Rattus norvegicus: one gene and its partners. The protein of the gene in region 1 interacts with the protein of each later gene in a pairwise test. Links are inferred from orthologs where the notes say so. Each region holds a gene or a part of one and is shown in the gene's direction. Other genes may lie near its edges. The genes, in order: Atxn3, Phaf1, Arhgap19, Ewsr1, Dnm2, Tex11 and Rad23b.

Evidence for each region.
Region 2: the proteins of Atxn3 (region 1) and Phaf1 interact in binary tests that used the Homo sapiens proteins (3 or more experiments, as listed by UniProt). The link is inferred for Rattus norvegicus from reciprocal best matches to the Homo sapiens genes ATXN3 and PHAF1.
Region 3: the proteins of Atxn3 (region 1) and Arhgap19 interact in binary tests that used the Homo sapiens proteins (3 or more experiments, as listed by UniProt). The link is inferred for Rattus norvegicus from reciprocal best matches to the Homo sapiens genes ATXN3 and ARHGAP19.
Region 4: the proteins of Atxn3 (region 1) and Ewsr1 interact in binary tests that used the Homo sapiens proteins (3 or more experiments, as listed by UniProt). The link is inferred for Rattus norvegicus from reciprocal best matches to the Homo sapiens genes ATXN3 and EWSR1.
Region 5: the proteins of Atxn3 (region 1) and Dnm2 interact in binary tests that used the Homo sapiens proteins (3 or more experiments, as listed by UniProt). The link is inferred for Rattus norvegicus from reciprocal best matches to the Homo sapiens genes ATXN3 and DNM2.
Region 6: the proteins of Atxn3 (region 1) and Tex11 interact in binary tests that used the Homo sapiens proteins (3 or more experiments, as listed by UniProt). The link is inferred for Rattus norvegicus from reciprocal best matches to the Homo sapiens genes ATXN3 and TEX11.
Region 7: the proteins of Atxn3 (region 1) and Rad23b interact in a two-hybrid assay, tested with the Homo sapiens proteins (2 studies listed by BioGRID and IntAct). The link is inferred for Rattus norvegicus from reciprocal best matches to the Homo sapiens genes ATXN3 and RAD23B.

Annotation. Positions count from the first base shown.
Region 1 is NC_086024.1:126,869,982-126,874,264, reverse strand, and holds the start of Atxn3 (ataxin-3), read left to right. Parts: upstream 1-1,483; 5' UTR 1,484-1,588; coding exon 1,589-1,612; exon of another isoform or gene 1,613-1,728; intron 1,729-1,762; exon of another isoform or gene 1,763-2,234; intron 2,235-2,261; exon of another isoform or gene 2,262-3,065; intron 3,066-4,283. UniProt on the Homo sapiens protein: Deubiquitinating enzyme involved in protein homeostasis maintenance, transcription, cytoskeleton regulation, myogenesis and degradation of misfolded chaperone substrates.
Region 2 is NC_086037.1:50,010,233-50,014,237, forward strand, and holds the start of Phaf1 (phagosome assembly factor 1), read left to right. Parts: upstream 1-1,205; 5' UTR 1,206-1,401; coding exon 1,402-1,465; intron 1,466-4,005. UniProt on the Homo sapiens protein: Plays a regulatory role in autophagic activity. In complex with BCAS3, associates with the autophagosome formation site during both non-selective and selective autophagy.
Region 3 is NC_086019.1:250,535,682-250,539,181, reverse strand, and holds part of Arhgap19 (rho GTPase-activating protein 19), read left to right. Parts: intron 1-1,674; coding exon 1,675-1,785; intron 1,786-2,512; coding exon of another isoform or gene 2,513-2,526; coding exon 2,527-2,605; intron 2,606-3,500. UniProt on the Homo sapiens protein: GTPase activator for the Rho-type GTPases by converting them to an inactive GDP-bound state.
Region 4 is NC_086032.1:84,181,607-84,184,095, reverse strand, and holds part of Ewsr1 (RNA-binding protein EWS), read left to right. Parts: intron 1-1,453; coding exon 1,454-1,583; intron 1,584-2,489. UniProt on the Homo sapiens protein: Binds to ssRNA containing the consensus sequence 5'-AGGUAA-3'. Might normally function as a transcriptional repressor. EWS-fusion-proteins (EFPS) may play a role in the tumorigenic process.
Region 5 is NC_086026.1:28,253,103-28,257,388, forward strand, and holds the start of Dnm2 (dynamin-2), read left to right. Parts: upstream 1-1,486; 5' UTR 1,487-1,594; coding exon 1,595-1,755; intron 1,756-4,286. UniProt on the Homo sapiens protein: Catalyzes the hydrolysis of GTP and utilizes this energy to mediate vesicle scission at plasma membrane during endocytosis and filament remodeling at many actin structures during organization of the actin cytoskeleton.
Region 6 is NC_086039.1:70,226,545-70,230,044, reverse strand, and holds part of Tex11 (testis-expressed protein 11), read left to right. Parts: intron 1-2,193; coding exon 2,194-2,315; intron 2,316-3,500. UniProt on the Homo sapiens protein: Regulator of crossing-over during meiosis. Involved in initiation and/or maintenance of chromosome synapsis and formation of crossovers.
Region 7 is NC_086023.1:74,920,018-74,923,517, forward strand, and holds part of Rad23b (UV excision repair protein RAD23 homolog B), read left to right. Parts: intron 1-2,270; coding exon 2,271-2,384; 3' UTR 2,385-3,500. UniProt on the Homo sapiens protein: Multiubiquitin chain receptor involved in modulation of proteasomal degradation. Binds to polyubiquitin chains.

The DNA of each region.
Region 1 (4,283 bases):
TATAAGTGCTTGCCTGCCTGCATGTATGTGTGTCACCGTACCTACTAGGTATGTTGCAGAAGCATCAGATCCCCTGAATCTGGAGATACCAAATTCTGTGAGCCTCTATGTGGGTTCTGAGAATCAAACCCAGGTCCTCTACAAGAGAAGTGGCAAATGCTCTTAACCTCATAGCCAGTTACCTTCTAAATTGCAATGAATCTCACCTCACAGCTCAAAACAGCTTCTGTAAACTCCAGGCCAGACATCTATTACTCACAAAAGTACCTTATGTTGCACAGACATTTAAACTCATTATTCCCCAAATTAAACCCTTGTCTTCCCTTCCCAAGACCCTGCTCATTCTGCACAGTATTTCTGGTTGGAGTATTACTCCTTCTTTAGGTGGTACCTACAGCAGACACCCACAAATCTTTCCTAACAATAACCCCTTTCACCCCAGTTCCTCACCAAAGTCTTCTGAGTCTGCTTCCTGAAACTTCAAATTGGTCTCTCTCCATTCTCAAATCACTACTGGAGTTCTGACCACCATTGTCTCCTCATTTCTCCCAAAATGCCTTTCAAGTATTCTGTTCCCCAGTGATCTTCTAAAATTCTAATTTGACCCCATGTCTCTAGTTTTGAAAATCTGTAACCTCCTGTAGGTTTTTTGTTTGTTTTGTTTTGTTTTTGGTTGGGAGGTGGCGGGCAGGATCGTCCTAGAAACCCTGGTTACAGGCTGCCACAGTCCAACACAACATACTCCTCCTACCTTCAGGTGCAAGGATTAGGAGAATGAGTCTTTGTACCCAGTTTCTTTGCTGACTTTGAAGAACCTAAAATGGTTCCACCACACAAGATCCGCGCCCAAATAACACTTAATCTTTGTCAATCCCTCCCCCACCCCCGGCGCGAGCCACTCAACATTTTACTGGACTTTTCACTTCCCCATCGACGCTTCCTCCTTCAGATATTGTACATTTATCCTGGGACCTGATACTCATTCCGACAGGCAACTGTGTTGGACACTGTGCTATTCTAATTTCTTAGTGCCTACATTTCTTCATTTGTATAATAATATTACAACATACACACACATCAAAAATGCCGCATTAAATCGCACTTAGAAGTGGACTATTATAAGTCAGCCCTAACTAAATACTAGCTATAGTTTTCACACAAATACTAGGTATTGGGAGAATGCCTTTTTTGGAATGAGGTTTTCAGTGGGAGAGGAGGTATTACACGTAGTTGAGCAGAAAGTACCAAAAAAGGTGGAAATGGAGAAAAAAAAAAGAACCTAAAACCTGGCTGCGAGGATTCTCATCTAGAACCCTAGAATCACAACATTGTCTAGCGTAGAGAAGTTCCTCCGCACAGCAGGCGGCGCCGCAGCATCACACACGCGGCGGGAGGACCAGCGCCGCCCAGGTCACGTGTCCCGTGCTCCCCGGCTCGCGTGCCGCGTGACGTGCGCCCGCAGTAGTGATTGGGTGGCGGGAGGCACGTGGGTAGGGCGGGGCGGGCCGGGGCGGAGGGGTGGGGCCGGGGGCGGAGCTGCTGGAGGGGGCTGCTCCGCGCCGGGGCCGTTGGCTCCAGACAAATAAACATGGAGTCCATCTTCCACGAGAAAGTGAGTGTGGGCGTTCGGTGGGGAGCCGTCCGCGGCTCGGCGGCGGGCGTGGGGAGCAGCGTCGCCGCTTCAGGAACTCAGGCGGGGCCCGAGCGCCCCCATCCCGACTTGGCTGGGTGAGGGGTGCTTCCTGCCTTCCCCCCATGGCACCGTTCATGAAGCCTCCCGCATGCGTCTCCGGCACCCTCACCCTAAAAGACCGGGCGGGTAACCTGGGCATTTCGGGGGGCTTCATCCGGAGGATTAGCGCGGGCGTTTCTTGTTCACTTGCCACGCCTTTTCGGGTTTCTTCTATCTTCTCTCCTGTGGTCTAGTCTAGCGAGACGCCTTTCCACACCTGACGGACCCTTCCCAACTCCACCCACTCCCCCTGACCTATCCTCTGGCAGAACCAACTTTCTCTCTCAACTCAGTTCTATGATGGAATGTCCCATGCATTTAGATCTTGGTGATCTATCCCACGTCCTTCTGCAGTTGTGACCGTGGCTCTCCCATTGAAGGGCCTGACACTTGGGAAGTAAAGTAGGAAATCCCGGAGGGAAGTCGTCATAAGAGTTTTTATTACGGGATGTTTGGGCTGCTCTCCCATTTTTCCGGACCAGGAGGCCAGCTTTGTTTTTAGGTATTATGGATAGATTAGAATCTTTCTACTGTGTGATTTGGCTAGTCTCTTCCTCACCTTAATTCCTAAGTGACTACGCTTTACAGTATTGTGACATCTCGAGAAACTGGTCTATGCTCGCATACAATTATCAAGTCATTTGGGTGTTCCTCGGACAACTTTGGCATGATTCCGTGTTTCATAATCATTTTAGGTTTGGAGAGGGTTGCTAGTTGAGACTATTATTACAGTTGGAGCAAAGGCCTTTGTTTTTATCATTTGTAAAGGAGCATTCATTCACAACGTTTAAAGTCCATGCACGACAAAAGAAAGACAAAAATGCTGTAAATCTAAGGAAGTTGTTAAATGAAAGTGTTCTTAAGAAGACCTTTCATAGTGTTTTTGGAACTGGAACAAGTTAGTTTGTGACAAGATTTCTTGTAGCCCAAGCTGGCCCCAAACTCTCCATCCTACTGTCTCTGCCTCCTGAGTGCTGGCTGGGATTATGACCATGTGCCCTGACTCTGAGTGCGCCACCCCCTCCCCCACTCTTTTGTAATTTTCCAAAGGCTTTGGGATAAAGTCCATTTTAAACATGTTATACTCTTTGGGATAAAATCCATTTTAAACATGTTATACTTTATACACTGTTTTGTGAGACTCCTGCCATGTATTCTTAAAAGAAAAATGCATGTGCTTGTGTGGAGGTCAAGGATGACTTGATAAAGTCTGTCCTCTCTTTCCAACTTGGTGTGGATTCCAGGTGTCTGAGGCTTTGGCAGCAAGCTCCTTTACTCTCTGGGTCATCTTTAGGGTGAATGAAGGAAGAAATGGAAAGGACATGACTTCTAGGTATGGTGAAGGAGAAAGTTTATTAAAGAGATGTGGGAGAGCATAGCCTGGGGCAGACACATTTGGGAGACCCCAGAGTTGTCATGACCCTGAACCACATGGGGAGAGGGAAAGGAAATACAGCAGCCAGGAGCCAAAGGTGCAGAAGTATACCAAAGAGGTTGGGTTACCAAAATACATGAATTACATAGGCAAGGACCACTAGGGGAAGGGCAGCTAGGCCATGGTCTGGAGAGTTCAGGGTAGAGAGTAGGTATACCAGCTATACCCTGGTATAAGTAGGGACTAAGGGATGCTGGGAGAACCTGGAGTTCAGGTCCGCTTTGATATGTTAAATAGGTACCTCTGCCACCTACCATCCTGGGATTGAAGCTCAGCATAGGGCTCTTAAACAATACACTAAAAAATATGTATTTTTTTGCTGGCAGGGGTGGTAGGCCTTTAACCTCACACTTGGAAGGTAGAGGCAGGGGAATCTCTAGTGAGTTCAAGGCCAGCCTAGTCTACAGAGAGAGTTTTAGAACAGCCAGCTCTATACAGAGAAACTGTCATGGAAAACAAACAAAAAAATTGTATTGGTGTTTACTGTTGTGTATGTCTGTGCACTGTGTGTCTGTTGCCCACTAAAGCCAGAAGATTCCCTGGAACTGGAGTAACAGGCTTGTGAGTAGCTGTGTGGGTGTTAGGAGTTGAACCGAGGTCATCTGGAAAGCCAGCCTGTACTCTTAACTGCTGAGCCACCTCTCCATCTCCCTCAATACCTTCTTTTTTTTTTTTTTTCTTTTTCTTTTTCTTTTTTCTTTTTTTTTTTGGAGCTGGGGACCGAACCAGGGCCATGCACTTGCTAGGCAAGCACTCTACCACTGAGCTAAATCCCCAACCCCCCTCAATACCTTCTTGACAATATTGATTGTTCCTCATTTGAGCAGATTTCAGTGAAGGTAACTACTGAATCAGTATATCCAAAATGCTAGGCTAACAAAGACTTACTCAGGCCAAGGATATGCCTCACCTGAATAGTGCTTGCTGTGTAAGCATGAAAACCAGAGTTCAGATCCCAGTGTGTGTTTGTATCCCCAGTACTTGAGGCAGGGAACCGAGCCAGGTGGGTTTCTGGTTGCTGACCAGCCAGTCTAGCTGAAATCAGTGAGTTCTAGGCTCAGTGAAAGACTATCTCACAAAATAAGGTGGAGCGCAACTGAGGAAGGCATTTGACTT
Region 2 (4,005 bases), on another chromosome or scaffold:
CCAGCATGACCTTGAACTTCTTTACTGTCTCAGACTCCCAATTGCTGGGATTTCAGACAGGCACAAACCAACACACCCAGCCTCTAAACATAACCAACAACACACGTCAGCATTTCTGTAGCCACTTCCCCACTGAACAGCCCAGTGACCCAGTTGTTTCGGCATGAAGCAATGCTTCCCAAAGACGTCCTATTGTTTTTGTTTTGTTTAATGCCCGTAACACTGAACTTTGGTGACGTCTGCACTGTTAGGCTCCTTTGTAGCTTTTGAGTATTAAGCCTGTCACTTAATTCCCTGCTAAATACTATCCTTAGGAAATATAATTGAAATCGGGGTTAGCTGCTAAGATCAAGGAACCTTGGGCAAAGTCTTTACCCTCACTGTGCCTCATTTATTCCTCTATAAAATGAGACTGAGAGTGTGAGGTCTTGTCATTATAAGAGGCTTCAGCTGCCTTTTAATTTTGGTGTGCCCTAGAGCAAGCAGGCCAAAAATTCAGGCTGAATAGCTTAGAGGAGCCCCTCTTCTACTCATTGGAAACGGAGGCACAGAACTCTTACGGATTTAGTCAAGCATTAGCCCATAAAGCATTAACAAGCAGCAAAGCTGACTCCAGGCAAAGCCTCTGTGCTTAGAAAGTACTCTCTAGAGTGAACATTTCTGGATACGAAACCTGGCCCGGAACCCTTCACCCTTCTAACTCAATCCTCTTACCTTAGCCCTTGCCAGCACACTCACACATCCTAAACTCTGAGGTCGACCCTGCTCAGAGACCACTGGTTCCAAGGAGAGTACATTTCCGCACAATTTAGGCAATAGCAGCCAGCGTCAGTACGTGACAAGCAAGATAATGGCCGCGAGTCCCTAAGACTAGGTCCTTCCTGTCTGTTTTGGTCCTAGTACATAGACGTAGACGGCAGACAACTTTATTTGTGTGTAATGTGTTGTCCGCATTGTGCCTTTTCTTGCGTAGGCATGTGGGTTGCTGTGCAGTTTGTACGACCCCGGGAATGTGGACTCTAAATTCAAGCTTCCTCAAGCTTTTCTCGCGCCAGTCTGGCCTCCGACCCAGAGTTTGCGCGTGCGCGACTCCGCCTCAAGCCCCGCCTCTGTGATTTAGCTCCGCCTTTGCCACGCTTTACGGCCCGGCACGGCGCTTTTGCTGCAGTTGCTCCAGGCGCTGCTGTTGCTACAGCCTCTCCTACCGGGGCTGCTGCCCGGGAGGTGAAGGGAGGTTAAGTGTGTTGTTGTGTTAGTGCTGCCGTCGCCGCCCGGGACGGAGCTGAGAGCCGGACGTCCGCAGGCTGACGAGAGCGGCCAGTCAGCAGCTGCGTGCTCTCCTCAGGCCGGGTCCTGTCTGCGCTGCCGCAGGGAGGCCGCCCGGCCCAGCGAACCGAACCAATGCTGGACCTGGAGGTGGTGCCTGAACGCTCTCTGGGGAACGAGCAATGGGAATTCACACTGGGTGAGTGTGGGGTTCTTTCGGGACCCTATTCGCTGGCCCTTAATTCTCTCTAGCCCCTTCCGCTTCTGGTTCCTGCCCTAGATGCCTCTGCGCTCGCGGTTCTTCGCCTTTTCCTACCCTCTAGTCTTTCGGCTTCAGGCTTTAGAATCCCGCTCCTCCCATCTGTCATAGGATCAGCGATGCCCTCGCCTAGGGCCTCAGCAACCTTTGGGGCTGTAGTACTTGTAATCATAATAATAGCCGGTACACTACAAATATTTAGTGGCGTGGGAAGACCCTGCTCTTTTGAATTTATCTCTAATACCCCTCCCTGAGGTCTGAGGATCGATACTATATATGCCCGTTTTGCCGACTCTAATAGTTAAGAAATAGATAGCATCCCTAATCAACACTCTCTGATCTGTCTTCCTTTGGTTTTAGGGGAATGGAGGAACATGTCTCACAATCAGATGGTTGGGGGAAATGAGCTTGCTTTTGTTAAAGGAACCCTTGACTTGTTTTCTTCTCTTTTGAAATGTAGTCTTAACATGTGGTGTCGTAATACCAGATAGCAGAGTTAAAAGTTGAAATTGAGTGAAGTGGAAATTACACATTGACTTTGTAGACAATTCGGTTTGGTCATTTGGGGGATAATTGGCCCTTGTGTGTGAACATGAGTATTTGCTTTTAGTAACTCCTGTGTGTTTACTTTGTGGCAGCACTAAGCAAAGGGTATGGGGAAAGGTGTTCCTGCTGCTTGTTTGTGTGGGCCTCAACCTCTCTCTGTCTCTCTGCTGGGAGCTCTTGGACTGAGTCATCTGCTCCATTTGTTTATGGTTTATCCTTGAATGTAGAAGACTCAGTTAATAGAGACAGCATATTGGAATAACCTCGATAGGTAGATTGCTAGAAAGAACCTACTGGGGTTTGGTGGCTGCCTGCCTCTTTCTTGCCCATTGTAAAAGCCAGTTTTATCAAGGGGTCTTGGTTCTCAGAACTTAGACTGCCTGTTCCTATAGAGTTCTCAAAATTTAGTCTGCTGTGAAAATTTCCATTCAGCCTCTTGTGGGGCACCAAGAGCTTGGCTGAAAAGCAAATGATGTTTGGCTTCTGATTAGCATTTTTTTCTCCCCTGGACAACTCCTACGTAATCTGGACCTCCCAGGACTGGTTAAGACCCACAGTTTACAGACTACAGATGGTACACTTAGACTGTGTATCTCTTTGTTTGATTGAGTGAAAACAGGAGATCAACTGGGGTCAGGAAATTTCCAGAACACAGAACTATAACATACATAACTAACTACCCAGGGCCTCTTCTGGCAAATTTGCAAGAACCAAGAATTTGAATAGTTTTTTCACACTGTCTTCATAGTGGCCAAAAATAATAGCACACTAGGTTCAGAGTTCAACTTTGGGAGAACACTCATAGGGTAGCTCTGAGCCTTAGTGATTGCTTGTACCATTTTCATTATTCTTTTTAGATTAGGTTTTGTTTGCTTGTTTTTTTTTTTTTTTTAAGACCGTTACTAGCCCAGACTGGTTTCAGACTCCCAGTGCAAGTTAAGTTTGAACTTATAATATTTCTCTCAGTATGTTGGGTTTGTGTGGTACTTGAGATCAAACCCAGTGGCAAGTACGAAAGTGGGCCACTATATCAGTCTAAAGTATACATTTTTAATTTTTAAATTTACTTATTTAGAAGGGAAGTTTAGGAGGGAAGTCTTGGCTGCTCTTTCAGAGGAGCGGGGTTAGATTCCTAGCCTCCACAGGCTTTGCATGCAGGTCATGCACATCCAAACATTCCAGGCAAACAACACCCATACACATTCAGAAACGTGTCAGGGAGGAGCTTGCACAGTTGAGGTCAGAGGACAACGGGCAAGAATTGGTTCTTTCCATCATGTGAATCCTAGTGATCAATCAGACTCATGTCACCAGGTTTACAACAGGCACCCTTGTTCACTGCCACCTTACCAGCCCTTAGAACCTGAAGTTTTAAATGTAAGGCTGGGGTGATGACCCAGTGCCTCTACAGAGACCTAGCTATCCTTGAACTCAGCTATGTAGATCAGGATGGTCGCAGATCTGCCTGCTTCTGGTGTCCACCACCACACCCAGCAAAAAGACTATAATCCTTTATAACTCTGCTAGTAAAGAAAATAGAAGGCTCATTTTAGGAATTACACAATAAGATACTGAACCACAAATTTTAAAAAATAAGGTATTTTTAATTACAATGTTTTAGAAAATGGTTAAGATACAGAGAATGAACAAAGTGAAGTTCACTTAGTTTGGCTGAAGGACCTTTTTGAAAGGCTACAGAGAAGCATAAAGATCCTCTTCAAAGAATGTTCTGTTGCATTCAAGGGTTGTGTGTGCCTTATTAACTTTTTTATTAACATATAAAGAAATGAGTTTCACTAAGACATTTGATACATAATCTATCACTATACTTTGTTCTTCTTTGCCCCCTACCCTTTTCTCTTTCTCCTTCTGGTTGGTCTTCACTTCACCATTGCATTTGAATTCTATCTTTACTTTATAGTAAAAAAAGATAA
Region 3 (3,500 bases), on another chromosome or scaffold:
CTATTGCTGTATTCAGACACACCAGAAGAGAGCATCAGATCCCATTACAGATGGTTGTGAGCCACCATGTGGTTGTTAGGAATTGAACTCAGGACCTCTGGAAGAGCTGCCACTACCATTAACCACTGAGCCATCTCTCAGCCCCAATAAAACATTTTAGAACATACTTTTTTTATGTCACTATCATCTGAACCCAGGGCTCATATGTGAGCAAGCAGTCTACCATTGAGCTGCATTCATCCCAGAACAACAGCTTTAAATACAGACGCTACAAGAGCAAACTATGAAGCAGAAGGGTAAGGTAGCTGCATTGTAAACAAGGAGACGCTTGAACTGGCCGTTTGCTCAGGAGCTCTGCAGTGAAGAATTTCAGTACTGTTTTTATTGGTTAGTGGTCCTGGGGCTTGAACCTAGGACTTTGTACATGCCAGGTCCAACTGAAGATGCCCTTTTGAAAATTTGCTGGAAGCTTTAGAGCTAATCTCCTGAACCCTGGCATTCCCAGTTCAGCATTCTCGAGTGATTCCTGCCTTCTGAAGAGAGGATATACAGGCCTTATTTTTCTCATGTTGGGGTGTGTGTGTGTGTGTGTGTGTGTGTGTGTGTGTGTGTGTGTGTTTTAGCTTATTTGGCTTTTAAAAAAAATCTATTTGATTTTTATGTCTTTTAAAAATTAAAACTTTTGGGAGGTAGAGACATGGCTCAGCTGGTCTTATAGAGAGGACCAGAGTTCATTTCCTAGCACCCATATTGGGCATCTTACAATGGCCTATAACTTCAGCTCCAGGGGGTCTGATGCTGCCACCTCTGTAGGCACCTGTACAGACACACACACACACAGACACACACACACACACACACACACACACACACACACACACACACACAGTAAATTTAAAAAAAAAATTAAACAATAGAAACTTTTAGAGATTTGCTTCCTCCAGTTTTTCAGAGGTGTCTGACAGTGGGTCTGAAGACGGTCTCGCTCTAGATGGTGTCATGTAAATACCTGGCCCTGCTGTTGTTAGTTATAATCAGAGGTTAATGCTTTAGGTTTTCAGTTTAGTTTAGGTGTGTATGTGTGTGTGTGTGTGTGTGTGTGTGTGTGTGATTTTTGACGATGTTTTTGCTGCAGGGTTTCTCTAAGATGGAGTTGTTACTTTCTCTGCCTCAGCAGCTCACGTTGTTTTCTGGCTATTCAGAAGGCCTCGTACTCCTGTTCTGTGTGTCAGTGGTCACGTGACCATCCTGAGGGGCCTTTTGTGCCTGCATTAGGAACTCAGACAGTTTTTGCACATTTACTTGTCTTGTGTGAGGAAGGACAGAGAAACAGAATCTTAGAGGAGACCTAGTCTGTGGCTCCCTTAGTGGAGAGGAGAAGGGGACCCCCCCCCAACACCCATTTTTCCAAAAAAGCCCAACCCTCGAGAGTGACTGGGATCCAGATGTGCTGTTATTAGCTAATATTAGGCAGTTTAAGTCACCCAGAGAAACAGTCATTCTTGGCTTTTGCTCTATCCTTCCCTCCTTTATATGACATGGCCCCAGTCTGTACAGAAATTATCAGGCTGCTGATAAGCTTTTTTTTAAACTGAGGAGGTTGTAGTTTTGAAAGCCAGATAACTACAAAATAATAAATGCTCATAAATAAAATATTTTCTGTTTCTAAATCAGCGCAAAGTCCTGGGCAGTCAGATGACTTCAGAAAAGAAAAACAGTTCCCCTGCTCCAGAGTCTGTGGCCATGGAGGAACTGAAGAAAGCCAGCAAAGAGAATATGAACCTGGTAAGAGCACACACTTGCCTGTCTCTCCCTGGGAAGGAGCTGACAGACTGGCACTTGTTCTGCTGTGACTCTCGGTCGGTCAGCAGTGCTCACCGCCCTTTCTGTACATTTACACCAGACCATTCAGCATGCTTTGAGTTCAGGAAAGATAAGGCATGTAGATTAGTTTGCTTCTGTTGCACACTGGCTACAACTCAGGAAGGAAAGGGTTTATTTGACTTACAGCTTACAGTTCATTATGGAGGGAAGTCAGTCAGTGTAGGAACTCAACACAGGAACTGGAGCTGAGGCCATGAAGAACACTGCTTACGGCTTGCTCCCCACGGCTCTCTAAGCTTGGCTTCTTTTTGTAGAACCTAAGACTGTGTGCCCAGGGAGGCCCCTTACAGTGTCTGTGCCCTCCTACATCAATCATTAATCAGGAAAATGCCCTACATGCTTGCCTACAGGCCGGGCTGCTGGAGACATTATTTCAATTGAGGGTCCCTCTCCCCAGATGACTCTAACCAGCAAAGCTAGTTACACAGCACGATAGCTCTGTCAACAAGTGCTGAAGGGTTGGTTAATTCTCCCCAGAAATGTCATAGAGCATGGCTCCGCAGTATCTGTGGGCAGTCCTTCAAGGTATGCGAGGCTACTGCACTAAGCTGCCCATAGCCAGTTAAGCGTGGGCATAACCTTCATCTGTAATGGAGACTGGCGTCTGATCATCTAAGCCACTGTACAGTTTTCTCGTTGCAGTTCTTCTCTGGCTCTCCAGCTGTCACAGTGACACCAATGAGATTGAAATGGTCTGAGGCGAAGAGAGAGGGGAAAAAAGGTACTCACCAGAGCTGCCGTCTGTCTTTACCACCCGGGCTTCTGTCCTGTGTCTTCTCAGTCAGCGTATTTCCCTTTTTCGATGTCCAAGGTGGTGTGGTATACTTGTAGTCATAGAAATGGATGCTTAGTCTACTTAGCACTGCCTTCAGTACTGAGGGCAGAGTTCCAAACTGACTCACTGACACCTGCTGTGGGCAGACAGGACCCACACATGCATCAGCTGTCTTATATTTGTTTTGTTTTGGTTTTGTTTTTTACTGATTTATTTATTATGTATATAGCACTCTGGTTGCTGGGAATTGAACTCAGGACTTCCGAAAGAACAGCCAATGCTCTTAGCCTCTGAGCCATTTCTCCAGCCTTTAAGAACACTTGTTAAACAAGAAGACACAAGGACAAATGGCTTCGTGAGGCTGAGAACGTCCATGCGAAGAGGACACTCATGAAAGTCATGTTTCTTTTCTCTGCCAGCTTTCGTAGTCGTGGAGAGACCTTAGAAGTCGTGTCAGCATGTTTAGTTCAGAGAGGAGTTAGCACGGTTGTTCTTAGCTTTTCTGTTAAAGCTGCTGTGAGCAGGCATGGGACTGCACAGCTGAAATCCAGCACTCAGGCAGGACTCAGGAGGGATTCTGGAGTTCAGTTGCTACTCCATATGTCAGCAGTGGAAAGAGCTCATGTAGACATGTCATTCAGTGGTAGTGCACACTTGTCCCCACCCTGGGACAACAGAGTCATTGTGATGAATCTTTATTGTCTTCTAGAAAATTAGGCTGTCGTGTGATTTCTTACTTCTTACTGTGATGAATGACCGAGCTCCCTTCTCCTGCTCTCTTTTGCACAGAATTGTGCTACTGAAGCAAGCTCAATATTTGAGTTATTCCTATCCAAATATT
Region 4 (2,489 bases), on another chromosome or scaffold:
ATAGATGGCTCAACAGTTATAAAGCACGTGCTGCTCTTCTCAAGGACCCAAGTTAAGGTCTCAATACAACTGCAGTTCTGCGGAATCTGATCCCCTCTCTGGCTTAAAACATTTCCTTATTCATACAACTAGTTTGCTATATTCTTTCCTGTCATAATTTTTTAATGATATTGATTAATACATGTATAATTTTAGGGTTTTTGAGATGATAGTTTACTCCCTGTGGCCCAATCAGTCCTGGAACCAGTGATGATCCTTCTACTTGACCCTCTGAGTGGCATTACAGTCGTGAACAACAGTGCCCAGCTTGCTTCAATAGAGTAGTACTGAAGAGGTGCCTCAGTAGTGAAAAGCACTTGATACTCTTTCTGGTGACCCAGGTTCATTTCCCAGTATATACAGGGAGGCCTACAGTGGTGACTCAAGTTCCAGGGGATCAGACATCTTCTCTTGGTCTCCGAAGGCTCATACAGAGTCACATAACTTTTTGGTTTTTAAGTCTTCGTGCTCAAAGGCTGCTCAATAACATAAAAGTGCTTGCCACCAAGCTTAACAATAGTATTCTTTTTATAGATATGAGTATTTGAGTCATTTTTAAAAAATACTTAATTCTGAGCCCTATAGCATCAAGTATTATTAGGTACACACATAAGCCTGTATAGATTGGACATCGTTTATGTGCATGCTTGTTGGACAGAGTGGTTTCTAAGTTCAAGCCGACCACAAACAAGCCATCCTTCCAACTCTTGGAGGAGGTCAAGAATTGTGTAGTATATTCACAGCCTCAGTATGGAAGGGACGTTTTGTTCTCTGTCTTTTGTTTGTTTTTCTATTCTGTTTTTAGAGAGTTGGGGATCAAACTCTGATCCTGTTCATGCTAGATAAGGGCTCTTCCAATAAAGTGCATCTATGGAGTGACTTTCTTTAGAAGAGTTACATATCCTGGCTTGACTTCGGTGCTTCTTTGGGTTCATAAGACTACTCACAGGTACCAAGACCAGGAATAGGGCCTACACTGCTTGCTTTTGATTCTTTAATGAACATGTGTGAGGTGTAAAGTTTATCTAAATATCTATTTGTTGTGGATGCTGAGGAACTAAGTCACTCACAGTTTTGACATCCTGAGGAAGACTTGACCTTTATTAAACTCTGTGGAATGGGGGTTGGGGATTTAGCTCAGTGGTAGAGCGCTTGCTAGGGCCCTGGGTTCGGTCCCCGGCTCTGAAAAAAAGAAGCAAAAAAAAAAAAAAAACCCTCTGTGGAATGAGACTGCCATTTTTGGGGGTTTCACTGTGTTGCCTTGATTGGCCTAGGGATAGATGTACTTTTTGAGTGTTGGGGTTAAAGGTGTGGACCACCACACTCTGCCTTTTGATAGTTGGGGGAATGTGGGAACTATTGTAAACTTTAAGCTTATGTTATAGTCACATCTTAATTATTGCTTTATGTATAGATGAACAAGAGAACTGGACAACCCATGATCCATATCTACCTGGATAAGGAGACAGGAAAGCCTAAAGGTGATGCCACAGTGTCCTATGAAGATCCACCAACTGCCAAGGCTGCCGTGGAATGGTTTGATGGTAGGATGTTCTCTTTATCACTCTGAATTCTGCTCATTCAGGCACACTTAAGAACTTAGAACAGTTTCATTGCCACCTTCCAAGAAAGAAGGGATCGTGCTAAAACACCTTTTTTTTTTTTTTTTTTTTTTTTGAGTCTAGAAACAGGAGGCATGTACTTTTCCCCTTTCCTGATGAAGGGGGTGGGGGGCTTGAGAGTTGAAGCAGTAAGATTTGCTCCAGGGGTTGCTTACTGTGTGCCCTTCTGTTAAAGGACACAGGCACTGGCCCAGGGTCAGGACTATCCTTTATTATGTGTTTGAGTGCATAGCCCCCATGTCCCAGCTGCAAGTACTTCTCTGAGCAGACAGTTCAGTGCAGAAAACTCTTCCAAAGAGACGTGTCAAGGATAGCACCATGAGAGAAACACAGAGAATGTGAACATCTTAGCCAGTGTACCTTGAGTGTTATGGGCTATGTCAGTTGTGTGCTGTGCAGAGCCTCTACCACTGAGTTTATCCCAAGGCCTTTGATGTTTGTTGAGTAAAGGTTTCATTATGTGGGTAGGCTGATTTTGAACCTGACAGTCCTGAAGAATTCTAGAATGTAATTTAACATCTTTTGTTCTGACCTCAGCAGTGAAGTTGGTGGGTGTTTTGTTTTCATTTGTTTCTTTGTTTCATTTTCTTTCTGCTTGTTTTAAGACAGAATCTCATGTAGTCCAAGCTGTTTTCAAACTCCATATGTAGCTAGTGATAACCTTCTTTGAGCTTCTTTTTTTTTTTTTTTTTTGGTTCTTTTTTTTCCGGAGCTGGGGACCGAACCCAGGGCCTTGCGCTTCCTAGGCAAGCGCTCTACCACTGAGCTAAATCCCCAACCCCTTCTTTGAGCTTCTTGATCCTCCAGTCTACCTTTGCTTCCCAGATG
Region 5 (4,286 bases), on another chromosome or scaffold:
CATCCAGAATTCCCGATCTAGGGGATCTGATGCTTCCTGACTTCTATGGGTACCAGGCACGTATCTGGTGCACATAAAAAAGTAAATCCTTTAAATGAAATGTTGGGCTGGAGAGATGGCTCAGTGGTTAAGAGCACAGATTGCTCTTCCAGAGGTCCTGAGTTCAATTCCCAGGAACCACATGGTGGCTCACAGCCATCTGTTATGGGATTTGGCACCCTCTCTTGGTGTGTCTGAAGACAGCTACAGTGTACTCCTATACATAAATAGATAATTCTAAAAAATTAAATGTTATGTGAATTTTTAAAAAACTGTACATCGGTGTGTTTGCTTGCATGTAGGTATGTGTGTCATGTCTGTGTCTGATACTAATGGAGGCCAGAAGAGGGTGTCAGATTCCTGGAACTGGACTCACTGATGGTTGTGAGCTGTCATGTGGGTGCTGGGAACCAAACTTGAGTCTGCTCCAAAGGCAGCGAGTACTCTTAACCACTGAGCCATCGCTCTTGGAGCAAAAAATAAAATAAAGTAAAAATAACCCTAGAGTTGTAGCCACTGGTAAAACATTTGCTTAGCTTCATGAAACCGTAGACTCAATCCTTAGTAATATACAGATACAGGCATGAGAAGACGAGAGTACTTTTCTGTGAGGCAGAAGTGTCCACTTATCTTCACTGGCATTGGGATTCTTTCAGAGCTAGGAGTTGTGAGGCTTTCTAAAATACAAGTTTTCACTACAGCCTCAGAATTCAGGTGTGACAATCACTGAACCTTATCCACGATGTTCGCCTCCCTGAGTACTGTGGCCCTTTGCTTTAAAAGAATATCACAAAGTGTTAAAAAATGCCAGGAAAGCTGAAAGAATTTTTATGACGCGGTTGTCAGTCAGGATTGGGACGCTAGTAACGTGTATCCTAGCAAGACCGGGTGGTGGACACAGGGGGAACATCGAGAGTTTGTAGCCAGCATACAGAAACTGTATAGAAACTGTATAAAAAGATTACGGCTCTTCTTTTCTCTTATTGGTTGGAGTAGAGAAGTGATATTTATATCAACCAATGAGAAATTTTTACGGAATTAACTAGTGTCAAGTGACAATCCAGTGTAGAAGGATTGATTCCTTACACTATTGGCAGGTTGACGTTTTGTGTGACCAATAAGCCAACGCGCATCCGTGAGCTGAGGCCTCAATGTCTTTCCCAGAGACCCCGCCTTCCCGGTCTGACAACCCGGCTCGATTTCTATTGGCTTTCATTTAAGAGTGACGGTTTTATTACCCAGTGAACTTGTGAAATTAACCCTTCCTCGTGCCTTTTTTATTGGCTCACGTTCTTGAGTGGCAGTGCTATTGACCAATTAGATATAGCATTAGGGCTGCGGGCTCCACCCCGGAGGCCGGGAGGGGAGGTTGCTCGGGTCGGGTGTCGCCTGAGAACCGGATGAGGCGGTGACTGTGAGGCCGAGCCGGGAGCGGGCGTCGCGGCGAAGGGGAGCCCGGGCGGGCTGGCAGAGCAGAGCAGGAGGAAGCAACGGCCACAGACGCATCGGGACCGCGAGTCGTAGTCGGGGGATCCGCGGGGCGGAGGCGGGCACCATGGGCAACCGCGGGATGGAAGAGCTCATCCCGCTGGTTAACAAGCTGCAGGACGCCTTCAGCTCCATCGGTCAGAGCTGCCACCTGGACCTGCCGCAGATCGCCGTGGTGGGCGGCCAGAGCGCCGGCAAGAGTTCGGTGCTCGAGAACTTCGTGGGCCGGTGAGCGAGCGCGCCGGCGGCGGTTCTGGGGCTCCGGCTGGGAGGGCGGGCGGCGGCCTAGGGCGCGGAGGGCGGGCGGGGAATGGCGGAACTGCGGCTCGCGGACGCCTCAGGACCGGTGGCATTGGGTAAGGTCTGGGGCAAGAGTCTCCATGACTTTTCTCAGAGACTGGAGATGGAGATCCAGGTCTGGTACTAGTCGATGATCGTGGGTGGTGTTTGGGGCAAGACGGTCAATGCAAACCTCTCTTGGTGCATCTAGTTCCGGCTATCGCTGGGTAACTCTGACATCGCTTTGCCTGTGATCTGTGGTGATCCACTCCTCTTTTCTCCTGCTGCCTGGAAGTCTTAGTGTGTGTGCTGTTGAAGATAACACTTGCCACCCAGCCATCCATGGGGGATGACCCCTGGGGTCTGTCTGGCCAGTTATTTATCTGGAGCCTTCTCTCTTGTCTGGTTAGCTGGTTATCCGTTCTGAACAGGCTTCCTACGGGCACCATTTGGTTGTCCCATCTGTCCAGACCCACTCTGAGGTCCACCGTTGTCTGGCTAGCCATCTGAGGTGACCTCTCGTGTGCGAATGCCCATCTGTGCCCCTTATTTACTTGAGTGGGCCTCTGCCATCTGACCTGCTGAACTTTGGTAGCCTCTTGTTATCTGGTTCTCTTGGGCCGACTGACTCTTGTCTTCCAAGTGAATCCATCCATTAGTCTGTTCTCCATTACCGCCCAGGCACCCCTGCCTGTCCATCCTCTCTGAGTGACAGAACTCAGGGAACTTGGGAAGAAACATTCTGTAGGGTTCTTTCCTGGCCCAGGATCCCCAAACCCGTCAGATGACTTCTAAGCTAAAGCCTCCCAGTTGGAATGCTCTCCAGACAGCTCTGGGAGCCTCAGCTTCTTCCATCTGTCCAGTGGGCAAATTCCACTCGCAGCTGTTTGTAGGATCCAGGAAGTGAGTGAAGAAGGGATGTTGATTTACTCCTGTCCCTCCCCCTCTGCCTTGCACACAGCAGCACTTCTCCATTCCAGGAAGTGCTCCATGTATGATGCTGCAGTGTGTGCCCAGTGATAACATTTGCTTTGCTGTGGACATTATCATTGTGTGTGTGTGTGTGTGTGTGTGTCCAAGTGTGTGCCAGAGTGCACTTGTGGAGTCAGGGGACATAATCTTTGTAAAGTCCTTCCAATTCTCTGTGGGTCCTGGGGAATCAAACTCTGGTCATTAGGCGTTTGTCCTCCCATCTTAAATTTTAGAGACATGGTCCCTCACTGAGCATGAAGCTCACTGATCAGCTAGTCTGGTTGGCCAGTGAGTTCCAGTGATCCACCACTCTCTGCCTCACCCTAACATTGGGACGGAGACAGACAGACAGACAGACAGACAGACAGACACACACACACACACACACACCCTGTGTTGTGTGTTTTTGTTACCAGTCTTGTGGAGGCAGGGCATCCCTAAATTTGAGGCTAGCTCACTCTACATAGAGTTCTAGGGCAGCCAGGGATACATAGTCAGACCCTGTCTCAAAAACCTTCAAAGTTGATGCAAGGCTGCAGGGACTGGGTTGTTGGAAGTGTTTATTTAGGCTGAACCTGTGACCTTAGGGACGTGGGAGTCTGAGGCAGATTTCTTGAGTTTGAGGTCAATCTGGCCTCCATTGTTAGTCCTTGTCTCAAAAAAAAAAAAAAAAAAAAAAAAAAAAAGGCCAAGAGAGAGCTGTGGGCTAAGCTCAGACATAGAGAACTTACCTAGCATGAATAAGACCTTGGGGTCAGTTCCCAGCACCAATTGATAACAAATATTATCGATATTTATGTTTTCTTTGATTGCTTCATACTCAGAGATCTTTCTATGACTGTGGCTTTAGGTGCTGAAATAAACATTTTATGTATATGCATATGCACATATCCATGTTTGTTTTGTTTTGTTTTTAAGACAGTGTTTCTCTGTGTAACTGAACCCTGGCTGTCCTGAAACCCCCTTTGTACACCAGGCTGGCCTCTACCTCAGTTGACGAGATTAAAGGCAAGTGCCACCAAGCCCAGCTATTGATTCGTTTTTTAAATAGCATCTCACAACATAGACAGGCTGGCCTTGAACACACCTGCTTCTGCCCCCTGAGTGCTGGGATTAAAGGTGTACAGCACCCTTCCTGGTTTTTTTTTTTGTTGTTGTTGGTTTGTTTGTTTGTTTTGAAACAGTCTCATACTGTAGTCCAGGCTGACCTGGAACTTACTGTATAGCACAGGTTGGCCCCCAGAATTGTAGCAGCAGTTTTCAGATTTCATTTTTCAAGTGCTGGGATCAGGTATGCACCACTATGTCTGGCTTAAGACATAGTGATTACTCTAGAATGCCATAATGTACCTGCATTATGCGGCCTCGGTAAGAGGGTCCCACTCAGTCCCATTCTCTATTTCCTGATGTGAATTTTACTAAACAGTCAGAACTGAGAGTCTATTCTGACCCTACTGCTGTTTCCTCCTTCTGCTGTTCTTGAATGTCCATCAGTGGACATCTGGCTG
Region 6 (3,500 bases), on another chromosome or scaffold:
AAGTAGTTGAATGTAACCCTTGTGACATGAAAAAGAATTGTGAACTGACCCTGGCAGACCTTTGAGCAGCTTTGGCTTTTGACTGACTGGTTGAGCCAATGGAGGTCACTGAGGTTGCTTTGGGCAGGGCACATGGATAGGCTTTTTTGTAGACTTTTCCATGTCAGAATAGAAATTTCCTTCTTCAAAGACAGGGAAAATATTTATTTTTTATTACACACACTGTCTGTAGTATCTTGTCTACCTAATTAGCATTAATTGATGCAAGTTAACAGGGTCACCATAATAGAATGATGCCAGAGTTTTAGCTAGCAGGAATCTTGTTAAATTAGATAGACTGAAATCAATCCATAAATTATACTTTATTCTGATAGCTTTGTTTAACCATTTTGTTTTTGTTTCCAGTGTATGATTTTGCTTGATATGATCTTAATGTGACATGCTGTCTTCACATCTTAGGAAGATTGCATTTAGAAACCCTTCTGTGAGCTTCTTTTAATAGTAAATTTCTCCTTTCTAGTGCAACCCTTATTCAGCTGTGTGATCTCTACTCCCTTCCCAGATTTTCTGACTGTGTTTTATACTAAAGGAGTGCAGTATGCCATCACCTCTGCTGGTGTCAATTAAGTTGTTCCACTGCTTTACATTGAAAATGTATTTTGAAGGGATCAGAATTATTTTGAAATTAGTATTTTCATATGAAAGTTATTTCATATGAATCTTTACATTAAGTAAGTTATGGAAGGAAGAAAAGACACAGGTTTAGTTTTTCAAATATACCTATAAAATATAACCTATAGTGTGAAATGTAGATGTGCTATATTTTCTATTATATTTCTGCTTATCCTGTGGTGTCCAGTTAGGGTTAATATATCATGACCAAAAAAGTTGGGGAGGAAGGGATTTATTGGGCTTACACTTCCTTATCTCTGGTCATCAAATGAAGTCAGGACAGGAACTTACACAGGGCAGGAACCTGGAGGCAGGAGCTGATGCAGAGGCCATGGAGGGGTGCCGCTTACTGGCTTACTCATTGTGGCTTGCTCAGCCTGCTTTTTTATAGGACCCAGGATCACCATCCCAGGGATGGCACCACCCACAATGAGGTGGGACCTCCTCCATCAGTCGCTAATTAAGAAAATGCCCTATACCAGATCTTGTAGAGGCATTTTTTTCAACTGAGGTTCCCTCTTTGCAGGTAATTAGTGTTTCAATTTGACATAAAACTAGCCAGCACAAGGAGGTACTAAAGCTTCCATGCACTATAAAAAATATTTGAACATAGTTTGCTTTGTGAAGTCTTTATTTGAATCTATTTTCTAACATGAAATAATTGTAGCATATTAAAGATCTGTTTGTTGTAGTTGGAAGTATAGTTGTATAATATGTATGAGGCTCTGAATCCCAACTGCACACACACCCCTACAGACATACACCTTTTCAGCACTGTTAGATGCTTTTATTGTATTTTATGAATAAGTATAATGCCATTTTTATTCTGTATGATAATCAGAAGGAAAGGAAAAGATGTACCTTATGGAAACTGTGTTACACTAGGTTGGAAAAATTGCTCAGTTTTGATAATATGAAAGGTATCAGTTTGAGTCTACATCATGTTTTTATTTTTTTTGGGCTCTAATGAATTCCATGGCCTGGTAAGATTTGACTATATGGAGGATCTGGTGCTCAGATTGTTTAGAAAATAGTGACATCATTTATACAGATTCAATAACTGGACAATGTTGTCTCTAATTGGACATGTCATTTCTTTTCCTTACAAAGCAAGGCCAGTTCTTCAGATCCAGCATAAATTGATGTTTGACTAATGCTTGCAAGTAATAATAAATATTTCAGTTTTACAGGATATATATCCATTCTCCTCAATTTTCTATGTTTTTTTAAGTTGGAAGGCATCGCTAACATCTGTTTTGTAGTAGTTTTATTTATAATAGCATTACTCTTTGTGGAGTCAATACACTTTACTTTTAGAGAATGAGTAGAGTGATCACCAAGTTCAAGTTAATCCCAGTGGTAATTGTATTCTCTCTTTAGCTAAAAGAAATTTTATTTTCAGCTTTTACTTAATGCTGTATTTATTTGGCCAAAGATCTAGGAACAAATTTGACAACGCTTTGCTAACTTTAACCAGTTGCAATAAGTTCATAGCACACTTACTGTTCTTTGTTATTTCAGAAGTTATTAAAACCATGATCATAACTGGAAATTCATGGAGACTACATGAAATGATTGACAAATTCTTCATGAACATATCAAATTTCAACAGGAAGTCTCTGACTGAAGTACAGAATATTCAGGTTGGTAAAAATATAATTTTGTTCATTATAATTCAGGTGATGTTTGTTTTAAGGATTATTTTAAGTATGTGTCTGCATGTGGGTTTGGCTTTGAATACAGGTGCCTATAGAGGCCAGAGGCATCAGATCCCCTGGGACTGTACTCAGGTCTCCTGCAAGATTTGCTCTTAACCATTGAACATCTCTTTAGCCCCCACCTTATTTTTTTTTTTTTGAGACAGAGTCTCACACTGTATTTGGAGCTCACTGGGCAAGACTAACTGGCTTGCAAGCCATACCGAACTTTCTGTTTCTGCCTTCCCAGTGCTCGCATTATAGGTGTGCCTCACCATGTCTGGATTTAACATGTGGGTGTTTGAGTGTCCCAGTTCAGGTCCTTATGGATGCACAATTTTCTAGCATCTATTGCTGTATTTTCCTGAAGGGTTTTAGGACCAGTGAGATGGCTGAGCAGGTAAAGGAAGGTACCTCTTGCTGAGCCTAATCTAAGTTTGGTTCTTTTTTTTTCTTTTTTTTAAAATTTATTTAATACGTAATAATAATTCTTTGGTTTCCGGGCAAACATCCCCCTCCCCCCTCCCCTTCCTTATGGGTGTTCCCTCCCCATCCTCCCCCCATTGCTGCCCTCCCCCCACCAGTCTAGTTCACTGGGGGTTCAGTCTTAGCAGGACCCAGGGCTTCCCCTTCCACTGGTGCTCTTACTAGGGTATTCATTGCTACCTATGAGGTCAGAGTCCAGGGTCAGTCCATGCATAGTCTTTAGGTAGTGGCTTAGTCCCTGGAAGCTCTGGTTGCTTGGCATTGTTGTACATATGGGGTCTCGAGCCCCTTCAAGCTCTTCCAGTTCTTTCTCTGATTCCTTCAACGGGGGTCCTATTCTCAGTTTAGTGGTTTGCTGCTGGCATTCGCCTCTGTATTTGCTGTATTCTGGCTGTGTCTCTCAGGAGAGATCTACATCCGGCTCCTGTCGGTCTGCACTTCTTTGCTTCATCCATCTTGTCTAATTGGGTGGCTGTATATGTATGGGCCACATGTGGGGCAGGCTCTGAATGGGAGTTCCTTCAGTCTCTGTTTTAATCTTTGCCTCTCTCTTCCCTGCCAAGGGTATTCTTGTTCCCCTTTTAAAGAAGGAGTGAAGCATTCAAATTTTGATCATCCCTCTTGAGTTTCGTTTGTTCTAGGGAT
Region 7 (3,500 bases), on another chromosome or scaffold:
CCTAAGAGCTATTCTTTTTGATGCTGTTGGGATTTTTTTCTTCTTAATTTCAAAATGTTCACTATTAGCTGCGTAGAAGTACAGCTTGGTTTTGCACGGTGATCTTATAGTCCCCTAAACTTGCTAAACTCATGTGTGTGTTTATTCCCATGGAGTTCGCTGGTGAGGGAAGTTCCCCTTCAGTGTCAGGGTGTGAGGATTGTCTCATAAACGGTTAAATACTTTTTCTAAGTATCAAAGGATCATCTTCCATTCTTACAAATAATTTATTCTATGTAGAGGAACATTTGCATTCCTGGGATAAAGGCCACTGTCCATTAAATAAAGGTGTTTTGTTCAGTTTCCTAATATTTAGTTGAGGGTTTTATACCTGTATTCATAACAACTATTACTTTGTAGTTTCTCGGTCGTGGATATCTTGTTTTAATACTGGGGAATTGGGGCCTCACAAGAGTAAATGGTGTTTACTTTTTAAATTCTTTTTGGAAGAATTTAAGAATTGGTATTGATTCTTTAAGGAGTTGATAGACTATCAGTTGCCATTTGAACCTTCATTTTTCTTGGGGAACTCCTGTGCTTACGTACTTCATTACACCTTTCCTTTGTCAAAAAGGTAGGAATTGTTCTAAATTTATTCCTTGAATCTTTAGGTTTCTTTGCCTCCTGGTCATCTTAAATGTTTGTCAGTTAATGATCTTTTTGTGGGTTTCGTTTGTTTGTTTTTTGTTTTTATCATTGAAAGATATTTTCTCTCCTGAAGTTCCTGCCCTCCACTCCAGCCACACTCTTTTCAGGTGGTGTTTTGTTTTGTTTTAAATGTTACTGATTTTCTTGTTAATATTAAGTGGTTAGTTTTACTCTTAATTTATTAAGGTTGATCCAATTATTAAAGAAACACACATGTATCCATATATGCACTGAGTATTTGAGACAGTAATATGCTCTTATTAAACATTCTCCTGTTGTCAAGACTAGTTGCCTTATAGTGCTGGTTACTTTCTTTGATTTCCTTGTTGGTGCCCTGTCTGACTGTACCCTGTGACTAATAGTGGTGCAATTGAAGTCCTCGGGTACAGCAGTATTGCTGGTTTTTCTCTTCTGTGGTAGTTCTGTTGGTTTGGTGTATTTTTGGCCTCTCGTTATATCTGTCTATCATTATGTTTTCTTGGCCCCCTCCTTTTAGTTGTAAAAATGTCCTTCATCTCTGGTAACAAATTTGTCTAGTAACTAAAGCTATTCTAGTTGTCTTTTGGTTATTGTGTGACTTTAAGTCTCAGGTTTATGTCTCACCACAGTATGTCATTGAATTGTTCCAACTCTTTCTTGTTACTTCAGCTACCCTAGTTTTAATTTGTACACAACTTAACTCTTAACAAATTCATTTTTGAAGTTTTCTATTTTAATTTATAAATAGCTTCTTGTGCTGAATTGGGGTTGGGTTTTTTAGTTTGTTTTTTGTTTTTGTTTTGTTGTTTCCAGTTTTTAATAGTCTTTCTGTAGTCTGTCAGAGAAAGGCTTTGAGACAGTTGAGGGAGGTATTCATCTAAGAAATAATGATTCTATATAGTAAATAGTTGATTTGAAGGTTTTAAGGGCTTTAGTCGAGTTTTTAAATGAGATTCAGTAACTGATATTGATGATTCAAATATGCTATAAATTTAAGCATAGTTGTCTTTATTTCGCAATACATCATGGTACTGTAATTGATCATCCACTTTTCTACTATAAAGTGTTGATAAGGCAAGGAACTGAAGAGCAGCATTGAAATATACAGGCCATGTTAAGCAATGCAACATTGATTTTGGAATGTAAAGTGAATGATATATTTGATTAAAAAAAAGAAATGAAACATTTGCTTTTACAAGAAGTTGATGAGCAAGTTAAGGTATTTCCACATGCTCTCTCCCTTTCTTAAACCTTCCCTTACTAAAGCCATTTGATATCCATATTTGTTTGTGCTCATTTACTTTTAAATCAGGACAATTAACTACTGGTTTTTAGTGTAGGTACCAGAGCATACTTTTAGCATAGAGTGCCTGTTAATTTAATCTCCTTAACTCAGAACAGCATTAAATAAATATTTTCGATTGTTATAATGTTCTCTCCACCCTAAGAGTGTTGAACAGTGAGTCCAGGTTCCAGTGAGACTGACCTTGTGTGATTTTGTTGAGCGTTTTCCGTGGTGCTGTTTGTCGCAATCCCCAGTATGTAAGCAGACTTATATCCACCATAGTTGATAAGCTGGATTTAATTGCTTCCTTCTTTTCCAGTTAAAGGCATTAGGATTTCCTGAAGGACTTGTGATTCAAGCATACTTTGCTTGTGAGAAGAACGAGAATCTGGCGGCCAACTTTCTTCTACAGCAGAACTTTGATGAAGACTGAAGGGACTCTTTTGTACCTCACACTCACACCAGTGCATTACACTAACCTTGTTCACTGGATTGTCTGGGGTGACTTGGGCTCATATCCACAATATTTGGTATACGGTAGTAGGTTGGTGGGGTGGGGGTGGGGAGCTAGGCTATAGGGCAGGGATACATACAGTGCATGTCTGCTTCAGTCAGCAGATGCTGCAGGTCCACACAGTGTAAAATACTACACAACCAAACACCGCCTTTACAGGGCTTTATTCTTCTACGCAGTAGGTAACTTTTCCTGGGTTTCATTCTTTCTAGTGTACTAGATCCAGAAATTTAGTGTGATGCCCTGCTTTCTCTTTTCTTTGACTTAACATTGGTTTCTGAAAGAATCTTTGCTACCTAGAATCTACAGTCTGTTTTATGGCAACACTGGATAATGGCTTTTTGAAATTGAGGGGGAAACATTGGAGCATCTGTAAACAGAAATGCCAAATTATTGATAGTCATTGTTGCTGCTTCACATGAGTATGAAATTGATGCAGAAGGAAGCCCATTCTTCATGTTCAGTGCTTAGGGTGGGGAGGGCAGAAAGGGGGCTTTTTCTTAAAATGAAAATAATTACTGCTATTTTAAAATTTCTTGATTATTGAATGTGAGCCCCTCTATCTAACATGATTTGAGAAGCTGTACACTTATAGGCAGAGTTATTTTCCTGTTTACATTCTGTGTTGTTTGGGGGATTGGTAGGTGTCTGATTACTGTTTACTTCACTGTTGTGTTGCAGTAAAAGACTTAAAACAACCATTGCATGTTTGCTTTCGGTGTATCCCTTTGTGAAATTAGCACTTTTGGGGCCAATGAAGAAACTTTGCTGCATTTACTCCCTTTCCCTCCCCTTTCCTCAGTAGAAATGTGTTTGATCAGCAAGTTGTGAGTCAAACTGCTGCCTTTAAAAACACCACAAAAGCTGATTCAGTTCAAAATGAACGCACATCTTTCAAAACTGGGTTTCTGATACTTGTGGATGTTTTTCTTTATTAGATAAGAATGTATTGCCATTAAATCCATTAGTATTACATTGCTTTCAAAGAAAAGGTGGGTGGAACTATAATCCAGCATCTTTTACTGCATTCAAAGA